2 linked regions of the Coturnix japonica genome follow. The protein of the gene in region 2 interacts with the protein of the main gene of each other region in a biochemical or structural test. Links are inferred from orthologs where the notes say so. Each region holds a gene or a part of one and is shown on either strand. Other genes may lie near its edges.

Region 1 (3,748 bases), on a different chromosome or scaffold from region 2:
GCAGTCCACATGACACCATATAATGCCTTACAACTGAAAAAACAAACCCTAGACACCTGAAGGCAATTCTCGTTGTCTGACAACACAACAGGTGAATTACTTTTCCCCCGAGCAGCCGCAGCAGTTCAGCTTTAGGGCAGTTTTCACCCCAACAAACACATCTGTCAGTTGCCTCTTTTGGGTCCCCTGCAGAGCAGAGGTTGGGACTAGCTCACGTCATGCAGTGGGATGAGATCACCGCAATCCCCAGCGGACAGCACCACACTGGATGTGTGAGATACGGCTGGTTCATGGGCTGGACTCCATAGAAACTCACGGACTAATTGACTGTGCCAGGAAGGCCTCGTCACTCCCCGCTATGAACAAAGGGCCGTTTGCAGCTCACCTGATTCAAACGGCCGGGCCTGTGTTCACTCAGCGCTCATTTCCTGCCTTGCTAACGAAGCACTGAGGGCACAGCCCTGAACAAAGCCCCGGACTAACACATCCCCAATGGAGTCTCACACTTGTCCCGTACCGAACACCGGGACACCGAGCACAGGCCGCTCCCCTCTCGCCTCCAGCCCAGCCTGGGCCCCGCACCCCGGTACAGCCGCACTCTCTCCAGGCAGGGCCCGTATGAACCCCCAGCCCTAACGCAGGCCGGCAGCAGCCCGGAGGCGGCAGGACGGGCCGGTGTCCCCTGCACAGCACCTGGAATTGTAGCAGCTTCTCGGTCTGTTCCGCCGTCAGCTCCCGCTCCTCAGGCGCCGCCATTTTCCTCCGCCTCTGACCCGCCGCTCCGTCACCCACCGGAAGTGACGCAGCCCGCTCGCACTTCCGCTCGGCTGAGCGGCCGGCTGCCGTTCGTCGATCGTGACCGGAAATGTACGAGTACTTTCCGGAGATTGCCGAAGCACTCTCGGAGCTGTCCGGAAATAGCCGAACTCCATTCACAGTGACCGCGTGCTCGATCCTCCCTATTGGCGCACGAAGATTCCCGAAGGAGCCATTCGGCTATTTCCGGAGATGGCCGGTAACACCCGCTCAACAGCCCGCGGGCGGTGGCCCCACCCAAGATGGCGGAGGCGGAGCCCGCTCCAAGATGGCGGCCGCCAGCGGTGTGTGCCCCGAGTGTTCAGAGCCCAGCCGACCCCTCGGCCGGCACAGAGTGCGGGCACTATAATGGCAGCCCCAGCTCCTACAGCGTGAGGGGCGATGAGATGATGCTGAGTTGTGGGAGGGGGGAAAGGGGAGGAGGGAAACGGGGCCGCCCCTCCGTGATGTCAGCGCCGTGGCCCCGCCCGCCGCCGCCGCAGTGACAGCTCCGGCCGGGCCGAACCGAGCGGGCGGGTCATGGCCGACGACTTCGGCTTCTTCTCCTCGTCCGAGGGCGCCGGGACCGAGGAGGATCCGGCCGCCGCCTTCCTGGCCCAGCAGGAAAGTGAGATCGCGGGCATCGAGAACGACGAAGGCTTCGGGCCCAACGACGGAGACTCGGCCTCCGCCCCCGCAGGGCAGGGCGCCCCAACGGAGCCGGGTGAGCGCCGAGCAGCACCGGGCGGGGCCTCCGCCGTGAGCACGGGGTGGGAGATGGGGTATAAAGGGGGGCTGGGCCCCGGGGCTTTGCCCCACCAAAGGGTGGGGGGGCCCTCCGGTGTATTCGAGGTTCCCCCGAGGTTGGGGGGTCGCTGAGGTGGGATGAGACATCCGTGTTCGGCTGGGTGGCCTCATGGCTGCACTCATAGGCAGGAGAGCGCTTTGGGGTGTAAAATGGAAGGCGTTTCCATTGTGAACATCACGGTCCTAGGCCCAGCAGGTAGAAGGCATTAATCCTGATCTCAAGCCTCCATATGAGCCCCAGCCCTGCTTTTAGGGGCTTCAGTAGATAATAGGAGCTCAGTGGTCTGTTATCCGCAAGGACAGAGATACAACACTGTCCTCTTGCTTCTGCCCGCAATGCAGGGAGGCCCCCAGGGCCTCTTTGGCCTGTCTGTAGAATGGTGGTTTCAGCTCTACTTACAGAGTCAGATCTGGGCCTAGGGAGCTGCTGCCAGCCTCCATGCTAAATGCAGTCATGGAGCTGGATGTAGTTGAAGCTGCGGGGTGAGCACCGTGGGGACAGTGCTACCTTGAGGTACTCTAGTGCTATGGCTGTATGTGCCAGCAGGCCAGCAGAGGCCCCGTGTTTGAGCATGGTCATCATTGGAGAGAGCTCAGGGCCTGAAGTCTTTCATCAAAGCTTCTTTACCCAGTGGCAGAGGGCCACATGCAAGGCATCAGTATGCAGCTCTTGGGGCTGAGAGGGAGAAGGATTGTGCTGCACTGTTGCTGTGAGCTTTGTCCCTGGCGGTGCTGCATTCCTGTCGCAGGCATAGAGCAGCTCTGCCTCTGCTGGGCACTTGGCTGACAGCTTCTGGGTCACCCATCTGTGTGCTGAGGGAGGCAGCTGCTGCCTTTTACAGAGCTGAAGTTGGTTGTTTTCTTACAGCCAGAGCATGATGTCCAGCCCTGTGCCTGGGGGAGTTTCCCTAATCTTCAGAAAAGATTAAAAAGAAAAAGCAGTGCAAACACTATAAAGACATAGAGTGCCCTGGAAGTTTTGTCTGGGAAAGAGGTGCTGGCTGAATCCCTCCAAGGACGGGAGGCCACAGCCTGGCCCAGATCCTGCCTCAGGAATGGCAGGAGTCCCCACGCATTCTCTGCAGCAGCAGCTCGGGGAGGGTTTGTTGTGTTAATGGCTCTGGACTGTAGAGCAGCACACTGTCCTCTTCCCATCGCTTTCCTGAACAGTCTGTATGAAGCAAAGGGGATCTGGGGTCCTGCTACAACTGGACAGGGACAAGTATGTTGGGAATGTGTCCTCCTCTGGATACTGAAACCTTGCTAGCCCTAACTTGAGCTCCAGCACACCAGCACACAGCTCTGCTGATGTCCATTACTTGGACCAGCATAGGATCTTTAGTCTGGGACCCATATATGTGAGTCTGTTGTGGATAGTAGTATTGGGTTGGGAATGGCACATCTGCATCCCCAAAGAACTGGCTTGTTTCTGTCTCGTGAACCCCAGCTCCTCCAGGATCATTTCAGTTGTCACAGTTGTGTTTTTCTTCCTTATTTTTTCTAGCTGGTTTCCAGAATGGAGGAGCCACTGTCAATGGAGATGTTTTTCAGGTGAGAGCTCAGGCCCATGTTCTGGCCTGGTGGTACCAAGGAGGATTAGGTGGGTGTGGGGGGAAGATTGCAAACCCTCTGTTCTCTACAAACTCCTCTTTTTCCAGCCTGGAAATCTCTTGGAGGCTGTCAGGGATGTTTGAGAGCATCTCCTGACTGAGTCCAGATCCAGGACAGGGTTTCCAGAGGCGCCTCCTCTGCTAACACATGGCTGTAGCCTTGCCACCAAGTCCAGCAGCGTCTCTCATTAAACTTGCATTCCCCACAGCTGAGGGTGTTTCAGGGGGACACCTGTGTGGGTCTCATCTCCTTCTGGGACCATGTAGCCAAGCTGTGCAGGGTACAGGAGAAGCTGTGCCAGCTCCTGACAAGCCCCCTGTGCTTTGTCTGTGTGTAGTCTACAGGATGATAATCACATCAGATCAGAGATGGGATACACTTAATTAGATTGTGGATCTTGGAGGAGAGCCGTAATCCTCTTGCTTAGCTCCATGTCAGCCAGCAGAAGGGTTTAGGAAAGGTGTTGATGTGGCACACAGCGTGATGCTGGGCCTGGTGGGAGCTGTGCAGGCTGCTCAGCTTGGAGAACCACAAG
Region 2 (3,397 bases):
TCAGTATTTCCCTGATGAAAGGTACTGCCAAGAGAGTCAGGATGACATCAGCCTCTCAGCAAACACACCTTTATCACCACCTATAAATAGAGTAGAAACTGCTGCAGGAAGCATTTCCTTGTAGGTAGAGAACAGGTTGCAGAAACGAAACCAAGCGCAGTGCTGGGCTGCTGTGTGTGTGGCACCCAATGGCTGCTCATAACCCTGCACTGAGGTTTGTGGTGCAGAACTGGGAAGGTTTGGCTCACCTTCTGTATACAGATATGTATTTGTTAGTATTGCCAGGTGGTGGGGTCACCATCCCTAGGGGTGCTGAGGGATGGGGGTCAGTGTGTGGGGATGGGCTGGGGTTTGGACTTGGTGCTCTCAGAGGCCTTTTCAAAGCCCTGTGATGCTACAACTCCACTCACCCTTGGCTCCCAGCAGCATCCCCAGCCCCCTGCTCTCCTGTAGCCCTTCATCTTGAAGCCCCACGCCCTTAGTGCCAACAATGCTGCTGACAGAGCACTGCACACAGTTTAAATATTGCTGCTTTAATAATCTACATCCAGTAGCAGTTCAAAGAGAAGATGAGCCAGCTGTGTTTCCTCTGCCCCCCCTTGTCTCCTCACATCAGTTTCCTTATTGCTGCAGAATTCGCCACATCTAACGGCCCTGGGCTCCTGCAGGCCACATTTACATTTAATTCTGCTAATCATCTTAAATATAAAACATAATGCAACTGCTCCTCTGCTGTTGCTGTAGTAATAAAACATAGAAAAGGAAATAAAAAGATGCTTGTATCCTTATTGCCAGTGTGTGCCAGGAACTGCTTTCTCCCTTCTGAAAGCCCAGTTAAAGAGACGTTCCCCTCTTTGCTGAGAGCTGATCCCACACCAAAACGAGGTCAAAACACTCCAAGAAGGGGAAGTTAAATAAAAAATACAGGTGCAAGAAAAGCCCAACAGTTTCCTACTTCAAAAACAACTCGCGTTCTTCAGAAGGGTCCGAGCAGTGCAGTACAGCTACATTTACTGGAGGCCTCTAGTGCTGAGAGAGTTAAAAAACCCAAAATAAATCAACCCAAATAGGTCCCAAATTAAATTAAACCAAGCGAGCTGCGGGGCTGGGAGCCCAACTGCTCTATGGCCAGGGACTGAGGGGGAAAAAAATAGAACAAAAATCAAGTTTTTGGTTGAAAGAAAAAGAAAAATAATTCCAGTTTCTCAGGCCGGGCGAGGAGGAGAACCCCGCGCATGAAGGCACGCCAGAAGCAAGGCGATCTGTTTAAAACACAGATGTAAGAGCTCTGATGGCGGAGGCCTGGCCCCGTCCGTCCCACTAGAAGTTGACGGCGTGTGCCCGGTGCAGGCTGGTGTCACGCTCAGGCTGCAACGAGAGGGGACACAGCTCACAGCTCCTGTGGCACAGCCATGTCCCCAGCACCGTGCTCCCATCCTGCTGCCCCTACTACCTCCTCTCCTGGCCCTGGAAGGTGGCTGGGTTTCTGGGCGAGGGCCGGCTTCTTGAGGATGCCTCTCCTGGGGGCTGGTGCTGGCCGTGTCTCCCCATCCTCCTCTGCATTGTAGGGCCCAGCCAAGGCGTAGTGCTGCTTCCTCAGCTCACCCAGACGCACCCGTTCACCCTCAAGGCGCTTCTCCAGCTCCAGCACCTTCACCTGCACCACAAGAGCCCACCTGGGTCCTCACATCCCTGGTCTGCCTCAGGGACACGAGGCACTCAGAGAGAGGTGGTGGGTGGGCTGCATTTGGGCTCGGTGATCTTACAGCTCTTCCAACCTTACTGATTCTATGAGGCTTTACCTGTGTCTCCATTTCCTCCTTCTTCAGCTTGATGAGGGACATGCCCGAGAAGTCCATGGTGTCTGTGGAGAAAAGCAGGGAGTGTTTGCCAAGCCACAATGGAAATAGAGGGTTTTGGTTTTTCCTCCTCACCCTTTCCTTTCTGCTCTACCAAACCTCACCTTTATCCTCAATCTGCTCCTGCCCTGACCTGGTGGAGGCCACCACATTGGCTGCCATCTCATTGACGTTGCGGGAGCACTCCTGCAGCTTGCCCAAGTTCCTGCTGCTCTTCTCTGCTTTCACCTGTAACGAGCACTCTGATGGCTGCAGGTCCCCAAATGAGAACGGCCGATGCCAACAAAGCGGCCAAACCCTGCTGAGAGCAGGGACACATCGCACCAGGTGGATGTAAAAAGCAGGGAGCTCACCTTGGAGGCAGCCACCAGCTGGGCCGTGCTGGCAGCAATTTCATGGGAGCAGACGATCAGCTCTTCATATTTGCCTGTCTGCAGGACAACTCTGTCTGCGGACTCCCTGCAGTTGGAAGGGAGATCACGTTAGAGATGCACTACAAGTGTGGGGTACGTGCATCCCACCGTGCCCTTAGAAATCAGCACTGACTGAATCGGCTTTGAGTCATCATCAACTGATGGCATTCAGACATCAACATCCAAACGAACCCCACACTTTCCACTCTCACAGCTCAGGGATGTTGTGCCCTGACCCCAACCACCCCCAGCCCAGCTCTGTGTGTATGCGGTGCTGCGGTACCTACACGAGCTGTGTGGCTCCCCAGCCCACGGCCTTGGAGGCAGAGATCAGCCCTTCTGTCCAGCGGGAGTTCTTGGCATAAAACTCCTGAGTTGTTGCTGCCCCCTGTTGTTATGAGAATATTACAGCCTACTTTAACTTCTTTCCACTATGTATGCTTATAATAAATCCACAATCGAGCTGTAGGTGTCCCTGTTTTTTACAGGGGAGTTGGACTAGGTGACCTTTGTGGGTCCTTTCCAACTCAAACAGTTCTATGCTTCTATGGAACTATATAAAAATCCATACATCGTATTAAAAAAATCAATTAAAAATACCACATCTAGCAATACGGAACACTATATATAAACCCATAAGTCCAGGGACTGGCAGCACTTCTGTGCCCTTCAGGATGCTCTCACTGACTTGCTTAAACCCAAACATTACAAGCTTGGTGCTCCAAATTTGGCCTGGGTATAAAAAGTGCACAATTCAGCTGTGTTTTGTTTGTTTGTTTTTCTCCTACAAATTGTAGAAAATTCTGTATTTCACATCAAGAGCACAGAGATGAGTGGAAGGGAGGACTTACCCGGCCGCTCTCCACAATCTCCTTCTGTAAGTTCGTTGAGGTCATTACAAGAAGCCTAATAGCCTGGAATGGGGAAGAACAAGTTTAGGGGGCGGATGGGATTTTATACAGAAGGTCTGATTTTGCTAGTGGTTTTAAGTGATGTCTGTGTGGTTTCTGATCCCCTGAGAAGAAGCTCAGCTCTTGCAGCACTGACCTTCATTAAGTCCGTGCAGGAGTTCAGAATCCTGTAGGGAAATAAGAAAAAGCATTGAGCATTCCCTGCCACAGCACC

What was found.
Region 1: the proteins of HIP1R (region 2) and CLTB form a complex in vitro, tested with the Homo sapiens proteins (2 studies listed by BioGRID). The link is inferred for Coturnix japonica from reciprocal best matches to the Homo sapiens genes HIP1R and CLTB.

What each region holds. Positions count from the first base shown.
Region 1 is NC_029528.1:12,197,621-12,201,368, forward strand, and holds the start of CLTB (clathrin light chain B), read left to right. Parts: upstream 1-1,254; 5' UTR 1,255-1,335; coding exon 1,336-1,519; intron 1,520-3,106; coding exon 3,107-3,153; intron 3,154-3,748. Other genes in the region: FAF2 (FAS-associated factor 2), read right to left, coding at 694-756. UniProt on the Homo sapiens protein: Clathrin is the major protein of the polyhedral coat of coated pits and vesicles.
Region 2 is NC_029530.1:4,488,055-4,491,451, forward strand, and holds the end of HIP1R (huntingtin-interacting protein 1-related protein), read right to left. Parts: intron 3,351-3,397; coding exon 3,320-3,350; intron 3,187-3,319; coding exon 3,124-3,186; intron 2,661-3,123; coding exon 2,560-2,660; intron 2,319-2,559; coding exon 2,213-2,318; intron 2,088-2,212; coding exon 1,964-2,087; intron 1,865-1,963; coding exon 1,803-1,864; intron 1,658-1,802; coding exon 1,391-1,657; 3' UTR 1,369-1,390; coding exon of another isoform or gene 1,321-1,368; 3' UTR 513-1,320; downstream 1-512. UniProt on the Homo sapiens protein: Component of clathrin-coated pits and vesicles, that may link the endocytic machinery to the actin cytoskeleton. Binds 3-phosphoinositides (via ENTH domain).